Drosophila melanogaster: one gene and its partners. The protein of the gene in region 4 interacts with the protein of the main gene of each other region in a pairwise test. Each region holds a gene or a part of one and is shown on either strand. Other genes may lie near its edges.

Region 1 (5,154 bases), on a different chromosome or scaffold from region 4:
TCAGGAGGGAAGGCGTGGCGGCATTTGCAATGCCAAGTGCGAAGGTTTGTGAGGGCTGCTCTGGCAAATCGTATTCTATTCAAATTTAACTAAATATAAATATTTTTAGATTTTTTGGACGAAAATTTAAGGGAGTCGGTTACTTGCGCCAAGCGCATCCAAACCTCGGATGGTTTTCGTCATTGGGCAGGATGGCAACGATATTGCCGAAACGCCCAAAATCTGCCTAATCTTAAGGTTATCTGTGGGATCTAGATGTAATTAATTTAATGATTTCAATTTGTAACAAATAAATATTATATATGTATATGCCGTGAAATAATTTCAAAAGACTAAATAGTTTCAATACCTAAGAGAGCTCTGCTTCCAAAATTAAAATTATATTATTACATTTTGATAAATTCGCGTTTACGATACAGTCGATTGTTCCGAATCCAAATCGATTTCGGAATGTGTTGAGTTTCGGGTTCAACAAAGCTTACGATCAGTTTAATACTTTAACACTCTGGCAACCCTACTCGCTCTCTATTTCTCTCCGAGTTTCGTTCATTATCAAGTGAACGAAAGCTTTAAGCTTTCTCGCCAAAAACTTTGTGGAGCAATGGAGTGGCACTATCTCGCTTACGTGGGGCTTTCATTTGGCGACATCGGCCGAACAAATCGGAGCGTTTTTTCGCAACGTGTTCACAAGATATCAAAAGTCATTGAGAATTAATAAAATATGAAAAGTCAAGAAAAGAAAAGTATATCCCAGTGCCCAGTGCCAGAGATTCCGTTCTCTTATAAAAGAATCGCATTTCATGGATATATATACATATATCCTAAACAATCCCTATGGGATGATATTGTGCCCTATTGCGATCGCCTTACATAAGTTGCCCATACCCCAACCAATATACATAAGTATATACTATGTGACTCATATTTCCCTGCCCCCCAAACGGTTCTCCAGTTTCTGAGAAACTGGAAATGCTATAAACAAGATCCAAAGATCTGATGCCTCAGTCGTTGAGCTGCGTTGTGATAAAGTTGATGCAAAAATGAAAACTCAAGTGTATACTCATTTTTTGTTTTCGTGTTCAAGTCCCAAGAGGTCCCATGAAATTTACAAACATACATAGTTGCCGAACTATGTTTACTCCCATTTTATGAATAAGTGCTCCCCTGATATGGGTTTCTCAAGAAATCTCACCAAAACACCCTGCTGCCATATTAAAATTCTGTGAATGATAATGAAATTGAAGAATAAATAAATATATTTCGTATTGTTTTCAAACAAAAAGTTCCAAATATTGCCTATAATGTGAAGTCCCATTTTGCGTATGAGAAGTGTGATGTTTTGAATACCCCTTTTTAAATCTGTGATTTCTTACGTTTTTCCGTTTACCAAATATTTATGAAATTTTTAAAACATAAATAAAAAATCATATGCGTAATCAGTATTTTCTGATTTGTGGTGAAATTCGTAAAGAAGACCTTCAAAAATATATTGATGTGTTATTGGTGCAAATATAAATGTATATAATATATATAATTTATATATAATTTTGAAATTCTACTTATCAAAAGAATCGATGTTGTGGTGATGTGCTGATCTCTATGCAATAAATTAAATAGTTTTAAGTGTATTTTTTCAATATAAATATATAAAATAAAAAAACAGCCTGTGTTGAATTTTTGTTGCATTGGAATTTAAGTTCCAATATGAAAAATGTCATTTACAGATGGATTATCTACTTAGTGCATGAGTGATAACTAATCATGGAGCATTATGAGCATATCCATCTGAGAATGTAACGAATGATCCCTGATCCCTGATCCCCGATGCCTAAATGTCCTGCAAAGTGAGTTCGGTTCCTTTTTGGGCTGTGAACTTTGCCAGGAAGACCACCAATTCCATTTTCCAGACTGTTCTTTATCCATTTCGATATTTGCAGTGTCTGGCGAAATTCAGCATAGACTTAATTTCGTTAATTTGAATCATTTGTTTAGTTTTTTCTTGTGCTGCGTTTTGTGGAGCTATTTCATCACATGACGAAACTCTTGCAAAAAATTCCCCACTGCCAAAGCTTTTTTTGAAGCGTTATTCCGGTTTTATTTAGCTTTGTTTTGTTTTGTTTTGATAATCGGAGAACGACGCAAAATCCACGTACTCGATAGCAAATTGTGAAAACAAACGCGCGCGTTGGTATTGGTGAGAGAGCAGCGAGCTACAGACGAGCCTCCCTAACGTGGACCTAGATCAACCGCACTCACGTTAGTCTCAATCAATGTGTTGCAAATAATATTATTTTTTTTTTGTTATTTAGCGCCAGTTTTTAGAATATGTTAGATGCACATTTAGATTGCAGATTTTGTTTATTTAGATACGTTTTATATTTCATGGATTGAATTTTAAGGCCAAGATTCACACACCTATAAATTTGCGAAGGGCTTTTTCTGTTGTCTATTGAAATGTTTAATTTGTATTGAGGTTCCACTGTTCCCCGTTTTTGTTCTGCGACGCATTTCAGTGCTCCACCAGTGGGGCGTTCTCACCGCTTCCTTGCCCCTTTGCCCCTTTGCCGCCTTGCCGCTCCGCTGGCGCCGCCAACCGCCGACGCCGCTGAGCGTATAAAAAGTGCCGGCCGGCAAGCGAATGGCATCAGTTTGCAAGCTTTCAGCTTTGTGGCATAGCGTATCCCAGCGAACTCTAAACCGTTAAACCAAGCAAAAAAGCAACTAGTATTACACCAGTGAAGGTAAATCGCATTGAAGATACTATCAACATGAGCGAGTTGTCCAGACTGCAGCAGCAGCAGCAGCAGGATCAGGATCGGGAGCGTGTTTCCCAAGAGCTGATCGACTGCGATATTGACTTTGTGGAGGATACGACCTCCAAGGTGGAGGAGGAGGCCAGGATGCCACCAGCCAGTTCCAAGCGATACACCAAAGCCCTGAAGAAGGTGACCAAGGTGCAGCGCATGCTGGAGCAGGCCATGATCCTGCTGGCCGAGGAGGAGGCCAGGTGTCGGCAGCAGGAGCAGGAACAGGGCACCAAAAGGACCAAGAAGCAGCTGAAGAAGAAGGCCAAGAAGGACAAGAAGAAGGCCAAGAAGCTGGCCAAGCAACAGGCCAAAAAACAGGCGGAAGAGCAGACGGCGGCTGGCGAGGAGCCCTCCAACACCTCCAGCTCCAGCTCTTCCAGCTCCAGCTCATCCAGTTCCAGCTCCTCCAGTTCGAGCTCCAGCTCCGAGGACGAAGAGGTATTCTATAACGGTTACGGCTGGATCAGCAATCCATGGCGCCGAGGACCACATGGCCATCACGGCTTCGGTCGTCGTCTTGGCCACGGTTTTGGCCACAAGCATGGTCGCAAGCATGGCCACAAACATGGTCACGGGCCGCATCATCATGGCCGACATGGACATCATGGACGGCCGCACCACCACCATCCGCATGGTCACCACTTTGGTCCCCATTTTGGACCACACTTTGGACCTCACGCTGGGCCCTCTCCCTTTGACTTCGATCGGAGATCCTTTCGCGGACCTTGGCATGATCAGTCCCAGTTTTTTCAATGGATGGGCCTGCCGTGGGCCCTGGACAATGCCGCGGCCAATCGGAGGAGCCACTCGCTGCCTAGACTATCTAGGCGCGACTGTCGTGGAGATCTCGGATTCGGATTCGGACCAGGATACGGATACGGATATGGCCAAACGCGTCCACGACATGGCCGTCGACTAGAGAGATCACTTTCCCGTTCAACATCCGGTTCGCTGGAGAGGAAGCACTGCCGCAAGCCGAGGTCCAGTTCCAGTTCCAGCTCCAGTTCTTCCTCGGAGGATGAGAAGAAGAGGCAGAAGTGCAAGGGCAAGGGAAAGGGCAAGGAGAAGAAAAGACAGCAGCGCTCCTCATCCAGCTCCTCATCGAGCTCCAGCTCCAGCTCCAGCTCCAGCTCCAGCTCCAGCTCCAGCTCCGATGGCGAAGTGCAGAAGATTCCCCATCGACGCGGGCACCACTTCGGACCTCCACATGGCCACCACCACTTTGGTCCGCGCCATGAAGGTTACCGTCCCCATCACGGCGGACACCATGGCCATCACTTTGGTCCACATCATGGTCCATTTGTCGAACATGGACATGGCCCCCAATTCGGACCATTCTTTGACGTTCCCCAAAGAGAATCCGGTGAAGGACCGCGTTTTGAGCACCAGCCCCGTCCGGAGTTTCCTATTGCCCATCATCGACCACCACCAGCTGAGTTCCCTCCAGGTCGTCGCAGTCGTTCTCTGTCCCGATCCCACTGCCGCAAGGAAAAGCAGGAGAGTTTCCCCAAAGTCGAGAGGGAGGAGCGCAAGAAGGGCAAAAAGAAGCACGGAAAACGCGCTCATGGACATGGGCATGGACATGGACATGGACATGGCCATGGACATGGACATGGACGTGATTAGGCAATCGCAGCCAGCGTTTAAGATGCATTAAGATTCCTTCAATACAACCTCCCACACATATAACCTTCAATATTACTATACATTTAACACCCAGAAGCTTCTATTCTATTATTCTATAAAAAATCATTAAAAAAACATCTAAAAAAATGAAATTAAATAAAAAAAAAACAAAACTCAAATCTATATACTTCGTATTTTTTATGGAAACTTAATTTATTTATTTTCTTCTCCACGGTACAAGTGCATTCGTTAAGCTCAACTATATAATACCCATTACTTTCTGAGTGCGATTGCAAATGACTCAATTGCATTATTAATGCAGCTGGCGGAAATGAATTAAAACTACACTTTAAACTAGATACATTACGAGTGAGTAATTACTCTATTTGTGTTGCTTAAGTTGGGGAAATGCGAATGGGGGGCTTATGGACATTACGCACCGCGATAAGATTGGTGTATTCCTGCAGAGGTTTTTCCCCAACCAAATGACAATGCAATGGCAGCGATAACAAGCTTGATAGGCTTATCAAATTATAGGTTTTTCACCTGGTTAAATATTATTGTTTTGACACTGCAAAACTCGCAAATTAACCCATTTTAGATTAATTGGTTGGGTTTATATTGTAACAACCTGTGGATGAATCGCGGACGCAGAATGTTGACTGCATTCTCTCCTTCAAGTGGGTACAGTTTGTGGTCGCAACTGTTCTCAGCTGCGGAG
Region 2 (5,874 bases), 1.0 Mb from region 4:
CGGAATCTGTGGAATCGGTTATATAATCCATGTGCGACTAAAATGGCCAGCAAATTTCAGAGGAAACCATCTCCCGGCGGAACTGTAGGCATGGGAGGGGGGCCATCGAGTGTTTCCTCTACGCCGAGCAACCAGCCGAGGAAAAGGGTGAAACGCTGCTGCCGCAACTTCGTCACCTTTATGTGCACCCAGGTGGGCGTGGGCGCTCTGATCGTGATCTATGCCATCTGTGGAGCATTCGCCTTCATGCACATCGAGCGCCAGTTTGTGGACGAGACGGCTGGCCATGTGATGGAGCTGCGTCAGAACTGCTCCCAGCAGCTGTGGAGCATCACGGAGCAGCACAACATAATCGATCGTCGACGCTGGACGGAGGCCACGAACGATGTACTGAGGGAGTACCAGTCGCAAATAGCCGGAGTTGTCAAACACGGCTATGTGGGCAGAAGTCCAGAGCAGATCTGGAGCTTTCCGGCTGCCCTAATGTTCTGCCTGTCGGTGATAACCATGATTGGCTACGGCAACATGGTGCCACGAACTCCGTGGGGCAAGGGATTCACCGTGATCTATGCCACCTTTGGCATACCGCTCTACATCCTGTACTTCCTCAACATGGGCAGAGTGCTGGCCAGATCGTTTAAGTTCCTCTACCGATCACTGCACGACTGCACCCAGGAGCACCCGCGCCTGGATCGAATGGACGCCCTTGAGGGTGGTGTTGGCATGACACGCAAAAAGGTCATTGTGCCGTCGACCGCTTGCCTGTGGGTCATTTTCTTTTACGTTCTCACCGGCACCGTGATGTTTGCCAATTGGGAGAAGTGGAGCTTACTGAACAGCTTTTACTTCTGCATGACCTCGCTGTGCAAGATTGGATTTGGCGACTTTGTGCCCGGTGCCTCGCTGACTACCAGTGCGGATGTGAATGCAGCGACGCAAAAGTTGCAGGAGGACATTTCAGCCGATCCTGCCGAGCTGGCCCAGCTACAGTCCGTGGCCGCCGATCAGCACTCCAAATTGGCCATCAATTTTGTCTACATGCTGCTGGGCATGGGTCTGGTGGCCATGTGTCGCAACCTGATGCGCGAAGAGGTGCGCCTAAAGGCACGCGAGATGCGCGAGGACGCCAAACTTTGCATGGAGGACACCAGGCTGCGATTCGTTGGCTGTTGCGGGAATCCTAGGGACGCGTACGAGGATGATTACTACTAGGATAAGAAGAGGTTGTTAGGAGGGGTTTCAAACAAGGACGTCCCTTATTTAGATTTATATTTCATCACTAATCCGAAATGGTTCTATTCTGATGGAACTAAAGAAAAAGCAAGTGTATTATAAGAAGATCGTATTTAGCTTTAGGGTTATAGTTCTGTAACAGAAGTGGTCTATATCATCAGTTATTCTATTCAGAACTTTCGAAAGTATATTGATTTGTGAAAGTTTTCAAAAAAGAGCGTTTGTGTGTGAAGCTGTGAAAATGATGCTGTGATTGGTTAATGCCCACCAAGTAAAGTAATCCCCCATGAACCGATTCGATCCCGCAGCTCACCATTGATCAATTCCTGCAACTGCAAGAGCGGATCCGTAACTTCGAGGGCATGCTTGGCGGCGGCAGCGGGGAGCGTCTGTGCACGCCAAGCACTTCGGCCGGCCCATTCCGCATCTTTTCCGTGGCCGGATTCCAGAACCGGGCCAATGACATCGTCTACTGCCCGCCGATCGTGCGCCAGCACTCGGTGCACGTGCCGGAGGACTCCACGGCCATAATCTATTTTGGTGGGGACGTGCAGGACTTCCCGGAGAGCATGGAGACGAACCGTGACAGTCGGGGCTACATGAAGTACAACCTCGAAAACTCGGCCATCCTTCTGCGCGAGGCCTTTCCCCGGTCACACATCATCGTCATCCGGCCCGTGCGGTTAGTTTTTGCATATTTTAATAATAATTTATAAATAATATAAACGCATTTTCATTTGCAGCATGGAGTTCAAGACATTCAGTTGCTTTGACAATTTTGTTCGGGGCAACAACGCTGGAGTTCCGGATCACACGCCCATGAACCATGCCCTCCAGCATCTAGAAAAGTAAGTTCATAGTGTACAATTCAAGAATGCTCTTATTAATAACAATTGTTTATCCCCACAGACTGCTTCAGAATCTATCGCAGCGCCTGATCTCCATACCAGAGAACGAAATTCTGGATCAGGCCGCCCAGGCAGCGGCTGCTGCGGCGGCAGTGGCTGCTGCTGCTGCGGCCGCAGCTTTAACGCTATCCAACGCCACGGTCACCTCGGAGTCCAACTCACAATCGGCACCGGCCAACGACAGCAGCCAGGAGATGGACATTGATATATTGCAGGTGCAGGAGAATATCACAGTGGACGCGGATGGGGCAGTAATATTTCCGATAGTTGGCAACGAAGTGCCAGAGGCAGTGAACAATGTATCCGGGAATAATGGCAACATCGGTGGTGGCGGTAACGATGATAGTGTAAACAACCACCAAGAGCAAGTGAACAACCAGCAGCTCCAGCAGCAGCAGCAAACGGCGGCAGCCATCAAGATGACTTCTCCCACAACGGCGATAAATGCCACCAACAATGTGGAGCACTACAACAACGATTGTGGTACGAGGCAGGCTTCCGCTGCCTCTGCAACAACAGCCTCGGCAACGGGCACCTCCACATCAACGGCAAGCAGCGATAGCAATCCGCTGTGGTGGCGGGAGAACCTCAATCTGGACAAATCCAAGCTGGTGCTGATTGGCTTTAGCAAGGGCTGCGTCGTGCTCAATCAAGTGAGTCGCGTTTGGTTCGTTACCTAGTTGATCCACTCGCCAATACGCCAGCTTCAATCCTATGCAGAAGTGTCGATGGAGCGTGTAGAGTATAAATCTAAACGCTGAATCGGTATCTGAGGATTGTGGCCCATACCCAACTGACCATACTTATCTGCACTTTCTTTTTTGTTTATAGTTCATCTACGAGTTCCACTATCTTAAGACGCTCACGCCCGACGACAGCAGCATGTGCCGCCTTCTCTCCCGGATTTCAGACATGTACTGGCTGGATGGCGGCCATGGGGGCCAAAAGAACACTTGGATCACGTCCCGTAGCTTGCTGGAAACACTAACGCGGATGGGTAAGTGGAGAGAGAGTAAATGCCAAGTTGAGTCAACTAACGAGTGGGAGTCTTTAAGCAGGCATGAACATCCATGTCCACCTGACGCCCTACCAGGTGCAGGATGATCGCCGACCCTGGATTAGAAAGGAGGAGAAGTTGTTTACGGAGATGCTACGTAGGCTGAATGCGCCGATCACCCGGCACTTGCACTACGACAACCAGCCAGCGAATCTGATGACCCACTTCGAGGTGCTGCAGGCATTTTGCCAGCACGTCCACGCGCTCAACCAGCAGCAACAGCAAATGCAGCAGCAGCAGGGTGTCGGCATCAGTGAGCAGTCTTCGGCGGCGGTGGCCGCCACCAACAATGGGAGCAACAATCTATTGGAAGCCGGCGAGGAGGCAAAGTGACAGCTGCAACTGCATCCGCATCACCACAGGCGTCGCTTGCATGCGATGCGCAAGGGTACCGCCGCCCTCAAGCGTCAGCAGGTGGCGCAGCTGCGCCAGCACCACCAGCAGCTGCTGGCTGCCGCCCCGGAGCTCGCGCTGGCCTCCTCATCGCGCCTGGCTGCGGCCCTGATCTCGTCGGCGGTGGCTCTGAGCGCCTCGTCCGCGAGCCTTGTAAATAGTCATCACCACAGCCATATGCAACAACAGCAGACGCAGCAGCCGCCACAGGCGCGCCATCATCACCATCCGGCAACATCACACAGGCATCACCACCACCAACACCACTCACATCACCACTCGCACCACCATCATCATCATCATCAGTGTCGCTCGAAACGCAAACTGCAGAAATTGTATTATACGCTTTGCCGTTAGATCTGTAGCCTAACTATATCTATGTGTACTTGTACGAGAGAAAGTTTCTTAGAACCACCAGCAGCATCAGCACTTAGCTTAAGTGGAGTCACACCTACCACGTCCTATATATATTATATGTATGTCCAGTCCCTTCGTCCCTTCATTTTTTGTACATGTATTTATTTATTCCCCTTTTTGTTCGTATTTTGTATCTTTGATCATCGCATTTTTGTAATTCGTCCCAAACTGAAAGCAAAATCTCATCAGTGCAATAATATACATAATCCGAATATATATATATCTATATATTTATATATATGCGTATTTATATATATGCTGATTTTACAGACCTCTCTTATTTTATACAAACACTCCATGCTATTTATTTGTAATTGATGAAAAGATTTGTGATTTGCGCACATGATATAAAGTAAACATCGTAGAGCAAGCACTGTAATCGTAGCGTGTCTCAAGCAATTTATGTTTTAAGTACCCCAATGAATTTATACATCATCCGCACAGACGCATTAATCTAACCAGCCTAAAATCTAAATCACACACACCCACAAAGCCCTCTGATTAAGTATTACTTAGCGTACGTAAGCTAACTTTAAGTTGCAACTGGCAAAAAGCAAGCCACAACAACAAATGTACTTTACTTAGGTTGATCCCCAGTTTCCATCGCAAACTGGGGGCAAAGTATCAAATTTGTGAGACGAGAGCGTCGATAGCAATATAGCAATCAGCTCGTCCAGGCATAGACGACGTAGTTTTCTCTGATTGTGCTGGGCAAGTCAAAGAAGAAGTACTCAATGCAAATGCAAGTGAATAAAGTGAATTTTGCCAATTCAGATCCGAGAAGTAATTGTAAATGCGATGGCGCGCGTTCCTTAAACTAATTATGTATATCGATGTGGAGATCATTACCGCTTCCGCTTATCATCCAAAACAAGACAAGAAAGCCAGCCAAGAAAGCAAACCAAGAGAAAATCCAGTGAGACGTACTGTGCATATAAGGGAAAAATTAATTACACACAAAATTTCGTACCTTGTAGAATTTGCAGTTCAAAATTGCTTTAGAGTTTGTCGATGTACATTTTACGGATTAAACTGCACAAAACATTTTTAGGCAAGAAGAACCATATTAACTAAAATTACAGACGGTCGTAGATGTAAATTGAACATTATAAATGAAAACGCTGCGAATTCGAAACCAAAAATCGCGCAGAGAAAGTCGAGCAAAAAAAAGAAAACAAAACAAAAAAGGAATTCCCAATGTAAATTCTACTGATTTTTGTGAGTCTGGTAATAAAATGAATAAGCATATATGGATAAAATGGCAGCTTCTTTTTTTCACATGTCCACAAAGATCTAATCTTGCAGCTGCTCCTCTGGCACCAAATTAAACATAGTTTTAAACAAATTGTACACATTAAATCCATCAGATTCTTTGAATGTGAAAACTGGAACAGGCCACATTGTGTTTCTTGGAATTCGTTTCTTTTATTCAATCTACTTATTTTAAAATAAATTACAATTCTATTGTACTCGTACAAAAAATATCGCTTGTGATGCGCCGCCCGACATCTTCATCCTTGAGATTGGTGTCCTAGGTGCACAGGTGGAGGAGATGGAAGAGGAATGGGAGTGGGAACGGGGTCCCGTCGGCCTGCGACTACGCACAGTCGTTGGGACACTTGGTCGCCGTGCTCCACTCATCGCTGCCGTCGCAGCAGTCGCACACGTGGTCATTAATGCGGCTGCTGGCCACGTAGATATCCAGGCCCCGGCCCGTGATGTGACGCTTCTGGTAGCGACAGTAGAATCGCCCCTTGGCGCAGGCATTCGTGCTGGGCTCGTCGCTGCCGTCCTCCTCACAGTCGCAGTAGTTGTCGTTCAGGTGGTCGAACGGGATCTCTTTGGAGCCGTCCAGACACCGGAACT
Region 3 (4,666 bases), on a different chromosome or scaffold from region 4:
AAATCGATTGAAATTTACAAGACTAATAAAATTATGAACAAACCAAAAAAAAGTGTGTGGGCGGTTTGTTGGCGATTGGGCGTGGCAACACGGGTCAGCAAGCTTTCACTGCGCATTTGTCTCTACAATCTGTATTCTGAATCTCAACCTTTTAGCTTTTATAGTTTCTGAGATCTCGACGTTCATACGGACAGACGGACAGACGACTTGTCTCGACTCGGCTATTGATCCTGATCAAGAATATATATACTTAATATAGTCGGAAACGCTTCCTTATGTCTGTTACATACTTTTCAACGAATCTATTATACCCTATTATATATATTATACCCTTATACAAGTTTTGGGCTTACCGTACTTTCGATATGGTTTGTTCTTGATTTTACATCGAATAGCGGTACTTTTTTTCTAAGCGTTCTCTACGAAATACCATTTACCTGTCTTTTGGTAATCGATTGATTGCAGTGGGCTTTTATATTATTACTAACAGATAACCACCTTACATACGATGATTATTTTCTGATATACCTCACAATTCTTTTTTGTGCGGAGCATGGATTTTTATTTTTATTTATTTTAAGCCCAACAATGTTTTTAAATTAGACTGGTATTAATAAGTAACTTTTAAAACGCACGATGTCCATCAAGTCTACATTTGTATTTGAAGTTGGAATGGAATAAAATAGGCATCTGGCAGAGTCCTGAAAATCCTGTCTGGCTTAATCTCGCCTTCCTTTTGCAACATTAGACAGGTCCGCCTATCTAGGGCGAACGCGAATCGCGTCTAGGGCGATGGTAATGCCCGTAGCGCGGCGATGAGCGAGTGTAGGAGCACGATTGCGAACGGTTGCGCCGAGAATAGCGCGATCCCGACATAGAGCGGACGCGAGAGTGGGAGGACCGCGACCCGTATTCCGAGCCGGACGCAGAGCGGGACGGCGATCGAGAGCGTGACGACGAGCCCGAGCGGGACAACGTACGCTGGCTCTGGCGCCGGTTGACTGGCGAGTAACGTCGGTATTGACGCCACGGCGCCTTTAGCATGCTTTCCTGAAAGGCGGACACCCTGATCAGCTTCCCATCGATCTGCCCGCCGTTCATATGCTTGATGGCACTGGCGCAGTCCTCTGGACGTGAGTACTCCACAAAGGCGTATCCGCGTCCCTGGCGCCCTTGGAAACGGTCCATTGGAAAGTCGACTGCCGTCAGGGCGCCGAAGTGACCAAATATCTCGGTTATGTGCTCCTTGGTCACCTGACGCGTCAATCCCTTAATGTGCAGGCGAACATTGCGCACGGGTTGGCGAAATTTGAAGGCGTCCTTTCCGTTTCTGTAGGCCACTTTGTTTACCTCACCCACGGCTCTGTAGCCCCGTCCACTTGCTTCTGCTCCTTCTCCATCCCCTTCACCGCGCCGATGGTTCCACTGGCTGCTGCAATTCCGCCCATTTTGATTTTGAACGCTTTGTTTTTGGCGAGTAGGTTCTGCACCAGCAGACGGTGAAGAGCCACGACGTGGAGGATCGTTGATCTTCGACGACTTGCCCTTGGGGCCTGAGCTGCCTGAGCGGTTCTGCTGAGGACTCTTGTCGTGATCTTTGGCTGTCGAGGGCCTGGCACTGGAGTGCAGCTGGGTGAAACTCGAGCTGGAACTGGTGTGGTTCCCGTGGCCTGAACTGGCGCTTGCGTTAGACCTGACCACCGCTTTCGAAGATGTGCTTGCCACTGAAGTCTTGGGGGCTTGGTAACCCGCCTTGCTGCCCGCGTTATTGGTGACAACCGTCTTTGAAGATTGGCCGGTACTGCTGTCCCCCTTATTTTTTGTGCTGGAGATGCTAGCGCCGCCACTTGAATTGGTTTCGGCCATACCAGTGGCGTTGGCAATCGTCTTTGTAATGGTTATAGTGCTAGACTGGATGATGGCTTGGTTGGTGCCGATAGAACTGCTGGCGGCCGAGGCGATGTTCTGCGAGGTGGAGCTGCGTCTACGAGACTTGCGGTCCAATACCACGCTGCTTGGCTCCCTCATAGGAGTTGGCATGGCGATCGGAGCAGGAATTGGTACCGGAACAGGGGCCGGAACGGGTTGCGGGTGGGGATTGTTATGGGAGCTGGAATGGCTATGGAGATGGGAGTGCGATTGCGAACGGGAGTGGGAACGCGGTTGTGCCTCCGAAACAGACAGGACAGCCGGAATGGGTGCCGGCACGGGCAGCGGAATGGGTGCCGGTATCTGAATGACCCCAGGGGCTGAAGCAGGAGAAATTTTTTCGACAACCTCCTCCTTAACCGTGATAGCTCCCTTGGCGGCGGATATGCCACGACGACTCTTTTTAGCCAAACGCTTGGAAAAGCGTCCGTGATTCGAGTGATGGCAACGGGTGACGTGCCGGCGACGGTGCGAATGACGAGGGTTTTGGTGGCGCCTATGGCGACGATGGTGTCGGTAATGGCAACACGAGTGCTTGGTGCGCTCAAACTTTTTGACGGATCCTTCTGGCTCTGGCTCGCTGTCGCTCGACGAGTAGCTGCTGCTGGTGGAGCTCAAAAAGCTTGTGCAGCTGGACGATCCAGAGGTGCTGTAGCTCGAGTCCGAGTAGCTGGAGTCGCTGCAGTCTGCTTCAGTGCTCTCCGAAGCATTCGAGTGAATTGGTGAGATGTTCCTCATCCGGGAGGAGGGGCCTCTGGCTGGCTCTTTGCGGTCCTTGCGGTCCTTGCGGTCCTTGCGGTCCCTGCGTTCTCTGCGGTCTCTGCGGTCCCTGCGGTCCATGCGCTCCATGCGTTCCAATCGCTCCCTGCGATCTTTCTTGTGCGAATGCATCTCCTTGCGTTCGCGCTTAGTGGCTGGCTCGCCATCGTCTTTTGCCTTCGTCCCTGATACCTTGGTCATTTTCACAAGATTTCACTTTCACTGCGAACAAATATGACGGCCTTCGAAACTATTTTGATTTGATGCTCCGTTACTCACACGTTGGGAACGGCTGCCTTATGAAAATGTAATGGCGTGTAAAAACTTGGTCTGACAACTGTCATAAAAATAAAAGCTGACCAAGCAAAGGCCACTCAATGATAGATAACAACTTTTTTGCTTTGTGGTTGCCACCTTAGGTCACCGCAGTAACGAATTCTCAAGCAATTTAACACTAGACCAGACCACATTAAGGATATAATCGTTGTCCAACACTTCGAAATCAGGGCTGTAACTATCGTCATTCAGGGAAGGCATTCCTATCACCTGTCAACATAATTTAAATATACACAGACAAGAAAAGGAAGGTAGCATCGGTAATACAAAGTTTATATACCCTTCCAGTTACTATACATTTAAATACAAATTTGTTGTATACCAAGTAAAAACACTTTATAATTAAAAGCACCGAAACTATGATCTCTTTATTATAACTAGCAATTAATATGACATATCAAATTTTGATCAAATGAACAATGTCCGTCTGTCTGTCCGTATAAACGTCGGGCTCACAGGAAGTATAAAAGATAGGAAGTTAGTTGTAAGAAAGTGTGCAGATTCGCAGATTAACTTAACCTATATATGTATGTTACGAACTGCCTTCTTTTTTTTAGTGGCAGTGCCCCTAGCTCAGGCTTTTCTCAGGGCGGAGTGCCACACAGCTTGCAACATAGGCATCGATAACTATCGACATCGACTATCGACCCTACATATCTATGATCTCTAAAAAGCAGACAAGCAAAAAAAAGTAGAAGAAAAAAAACGAATTCAATTTACATAAACGACAAAATCTTAAAGTACTGGCACCCAACCGACCTAGGTTGCACGAAGGATTATTGCGGACATCACTCATTATCAACACGTCGGTGTCGCTTCAAACGACTAGGACAGCCCCATCTCCCCAAAGGTGAAGCATTCCGGTATGCTTTCTTGTTTTATTACACATACATATAATTACTGATTAACTCTTACATTCTTTATTTTTTTCTTCAATCACTCATTAGGCAGCGATCACCCTAGATCGTCGACTGCTTTGAAATGGTCAAAATTAGTTGATTTTCTTTCAGATTATATTTCAGAAAGCTGACGATTCTTTAAAAGTGTACCAAATACCAATTACTTTTGGTATGCGGGATCAGTTTCGCTAAGCCAATTGGAATGAAGCACACGCTTTGGGGCTGACAGACTTTACAGTTGGTCAAAGTTGGATATAATTCTGAAAAAATCAACGACACAAAGGCTCACACGTTACATAAATGCTTAAATCAGCTCGAACAAGAGTGAACAAGGTTAGTTATAGTCCAAATATGCTAAATTCAAGCGTAATGCCATACCTGGTAAAATAAAAACTTCGAACACTTGTTTTTACTAAACATAAAAATGCGGGTCACAAACACATTATTTTTATTTCGAACATTTATTTCCTAAAGTTAACATAAGTTGTTAATTGAATTTGTTTTACTTTGTTTAAATTAAAGGTCAATAAACAAATACGAAACGTTACGCCAAATATTTAATGACCACGCGCTGAAACATATGTTTAAACAAGCAAAAACTCTTATGCTAACTCTTATAGGCTCAGACGGATAGTCAGTTAGAGTCAGTTAAAAAAGAAAAAACTGTATTTAAATATTTAAAAATGTGACTTTTGTCCCACTAGAAAAATCATCTGGCCCACTGGCCCACCGACGACAATTCA
Region 4 (3,623 bases):
GAAGTGCGCCCGAGTTATCGTCGGGCCGAGCTGCTGCATAAGCCAGATTAAATGTATTTTCCATTACTGTTGCATGCCACTTTCGGCCAAAGTAGACACAGACACCAACACAGGTCACAGCTCTTCGCAGCCGGTTTAGTTTTCCAAGTGGCCAAGAGTGTGAGTGGGCCAAATGGATGCGGCCGTGTTTGTTCGAGCTAGGTGTGTGTGTCCCCTAAGAGCAAACTCAATTTTCCGTCTTAATATAAGGCAGTTGATATGACCTCCTCACTTCCCCTTATTTTCGAGCCATTACTTTGGGTAATTAAAAGTGAAGTTGGTGGAATTTAACCAGATTCAATTGAATGAACTTCTGATTTTAAACCTTTTATTAAACATTTGAGCTACCTTAGGTCTGGCAGTAATTTTGTTTAAGAGCTATACTTCTTCGAAAAATTTACTTTTGAAAGGCTCTTAATCCTTTAATGATACCATGGCTATGTGGAACGAAAATAAAAGAAACCTTGTTTACAGAAAAGTACATAAACTAGCTTGAGTACAACTTTAATGATAAATTGTTGAAGAACAGCTGGAACTGAAAATTTTGAGAACTGCTTTCCTCAAGAGTAAAGTAAAATTTAGAAATCTAGCAAGCGCCGATTCGCAGGATCCTTCAAACTTAGGTCTCGCCCTCACCCTCGGTGATCGACGGCTGTTTGGTGGCCAGTGGAGAACCGTTTCCTTCATCCGGTATAGTGGGCACCGTTTTGCCGCCGAGGGCGAGGAGAGCCTCCGGCGACATTTCCTGGTGGGCTTCCTCCTCCTCCTCGCCCTCGCCCTCATCGAGCAGCTTCTCCTCAGGCTCCGGCGGCAGCCAGCAGGTTCCCTTGACCAGGCGGTCCTCGATTTCGGCGATCTCGTTCTTGTAGTACTGATTGAAGTCCGGCCGCTCCCATATGCTCTTGACCCACTGCAAGTTGAAGTCCATTTTGGTGCAGCAGCAGAACTTGCGCGACTTGTGGCACTTGGGGCACTTGGCCGGCTGGCGAGCAGGGTGTGTGTACTGCTGCTTCTGCTTCTTCTTGCAGCAATATGGACACACGTGCTTGGGCTTCTTTTTGTTGGAAGTGCAGGGAGTCGGTTCCTTGGCATAGACCAGATGTCCCCGCTTCTTGGCACAGAAGCAGCAGTTGCAATCGTCGCCCTCCGGCTGCCTCTTGCGCGTCTGCATGCGATCGTAGAACTTCTTGAAGGCTATTTTGATCTTGGCCTCGTATGCCAACTGTTCGGCGCAGGAGAGGCCATCGAAGCGGGCATAGGACTCGGCTGACTTCCTGGCTGCGTGGACCCAGACGCATTCATCGTTGTACGAGGGTCTGCCTTGCTCATCGTAGGTCAAGTCCACTTTCGGCTCGTAGTAGAAGGCCTTGAATCCCCTCTTGATGATGGCATAGGCCAAGTGGGCCTCCACCTTGTTCATCAGCGACTTCTTGCCCAGCTCGTGGAACAAATCCTCCTTTCTCAGTCGCTTCTTGGGCGTGGTATCAATGCAATAGCACACCTGATCGTAATGCAAGAAGGCATATGTGATAATGTCCACGGTTGATTTCGCTTTGCACTCGTGCAGTCCACAGATGATCATCACCTGGGCCAAAGTGTTGGCCAGGTCCAGGACATTTTCTAGGAAAATCGATGAGGCATTTACCTCGCCCAAGCACTTGCACTGGGTGTGCTGATCGATTATGCCCAAAGGAGCATGCCTCTGGCACTCCTTGTGCTGGCAATTATTCCGGCATCGGAAATCGGGCATCGCATGATGGGCCTGCATCGCGAATCGGTCTTACCTCTATTTTGATGCTGTTCGCTACTCCTTGCAGCATGAACAATTTTCGAATTTTTTACCTAAAAGTTTTTTTCTAACTAGTTGATAAAACGAGACAAGCCAAATGAATGTTATGGGCGAATGTTCGCCTGACAGGATTTAAAATGATCAATTGCTGCTAGATTTCGAGTTTTTCCCATTTGGTAAACTAAAACGGGAATGGAATATTTCGTTTTTTTTAAAAATAACCACAAGTGCGAAATACAATTGTTGCAATAAATCAAACTACATCCGCAGTACATTTTCATTTGTAAGTCTCTTAACAATCAAATGCTTTTCCGTTTATCAGAGAATAAAATATTCACTATTTTTGTTTGGAAAGATTGTCGTACTGTAAAGGTATGAAAACATACAACATTTTATAAAACCAAGTTTTTCTTGGCCAAATTGTGTTTCTATTCCCAAAATAAACACAAGTGTCAGATAACAAGGCAAAGCCTCAGGATTTTCTCCAAATTTGGTTACTTTCTTGGCTTTTCATGTTGTCGGGGGCTAAGCGGCATTTGATACGGCATAGATTGTTTGAGTTGTGTTTTCGTTTGTTTGCCCATTCCTTGTAGACACACGTATAAGTTTCGATGGGTCAAATATTTGTTAAGCCAACAGTGGAAATTTTCAGGCAGCCGCCAAGTAGGCGACGCGACATTTCATTTCTCTTTTTGCGGCCTTCGTAATGGATGTCCTTTTTTTTTTTTTGGGCGGGATACATTCGTAATTGTTGATGACGGCATTGAGTCAGTTTATGATTCATTGGGGAGTGAGAAATGCGTCTGGCAGTGGCATAAATAAAGTACGACATCCTGAGCTCGTTCCCAAGGGAAACGTCAGCGTAAATACATCAAAGAATTTATTAGACAAGCTTTGCCATATCCGTTTCCTGTTGACAAATGTCACGGGAACCGAAGAGTCATCTAATAACATTTATTCTAATGGAAAAGGCGAACGGAAAAAAATCGCTGACGAATGTAAATCTTCATTTGCTCAATGTCCTTCCAACTTGACCCCTTGCATATCAGGGAACTTTTTGGCCATAAGTGTAAGAAAACTGGCTTTAATCGCAGAGCACAAAAGCCCCATAATCTGTCGCAGACAAAAAAAAAAAAAAGGGAGAAAAGTCGTTACAACTTTGTTTAACTCATAATGAAATAGCAGCGCGGTGCGGTCCTGAAGATGAGCGATTTCAATCCACAACCTTCGGGCTCTTGTTTCTTTTTTCTTTAGGCTAAAATGCAACTACGTAACTCATAAAACTTGAGCAATCGCGCATAAATCTTGGCCAGACAAAATGGCCAACTGTTGTTGCCGGGGCCTTATCGGCCGGACTTCGTTAGCCGGCAATTTTTCTTGGAAAATGGAAAAGCGACCCACAAGAAATTCATATTCGTTTCTCTAACAATAAAAGTTGACAGCATGGAACGGACACGTGGCGATGGTCAGGCGGCAATAGGAGTACCTGTCTGCCGTATAAAGTTACAATCGAAACCATTTTTCCGAGCAGAAATAAAATACCTCTGGAAATTGTTTTATGTACAGCAAATGGCACGAAATGTATCTGTAGAGATTTATGCAAAACACCGATTATGTAATATTTTTTAAGGTTTCGTTTAATCGATTGATATTAGATATATTTTAATGTTGAAGATATATGCCAACCATTTTAAAAGTAATAAACTTTGAACTCTGCTTAAATTGTTACAGAACAAAAATAAGTTTGGCAAAATATCATAACGGTTGCCATATGATTAATATATATTTTATCCTG

Evidence for each region.
Region 1: the proteins of CG3517 (region 4) and CG15784 interact in a two-hybrid assay, tested with the Drosophila melanogaster proteins (one large-scale study listed by BioGRID).
Region 2: the proteins of CG3517 (region 4) and CG31122 interact in a two-hybrid assay, tested with the Drosophila melanogaster proteins (one large-scale study listed by BioGRID).
Region 3: the proteins of CG3517 (region 4) and CG34334 interact in a two-hybrid assay, tested with the Drosophila melanogaster proteins (one large-scale study listed by BioGRID).

Annotation. Positions count from the first base shown.
Region 1 is NC_004354.4:5,427,912-5,433,065, forward strand, and holds CG15784 (uncharacterized protein), read left to right. Parts: upstream 1-1,659; 5' UTR 1,660-2,768; coding exon 2,769-4,433; 3' UTR 4,434-4,615; downstream 4,616-5,154. Other genes in the region: CG16756 (uncharacterized protein), read left to right, coding at 1-44, 110-255.
Region 2 is NT_033777.3:18,405,539-18,411,412, reverse strand, and holds CG31122 (uncharacterized protein), read left to right. Parts: upstream 1-1,552; 5' UTR 1,553-1,595; coding exon 1,596-1,915; intron 1,916-1,976; coding exon 1,977-2,081; intron 2,082-2,142; coding exon 2,143-2,794; intron 2,795-2,972; coding exon 2,973-3,138; intron 3,139-3,196; coding exon 3,197-3,531; coding exon of another isoform or gene 3,532-3,948; 3' UTR 3,949-5,349; downstream 5,350-5,874. Other genes in the region: CG10864 (uncharacterized protein), read left to right, coding at 43-1,212; CG7685 (uncharacterized protein), read right to left, coding at 5,606-5,874.
Region 3 is NC_004354.4:22,871,239-22,875,904, reverse strand, and holds CG34334 (uncharacterized protein), read right to left. Parts: upstream 3,094-4,666; 5' UTR 2,890-3,093; coding exon 763-2,889; 3' UTR 538-762; downstream 1-537.
Region 4 is NT_033777.3:19,423,251-19,426,873, forward strand, and holds CG3517 (uncharacterized protein), read right to left. Parts: upstream 1,950-3,623; 5' UTR 1,808-1,949; coding exon 659-1,807; 3' UTR 529-658; downstream 1-528.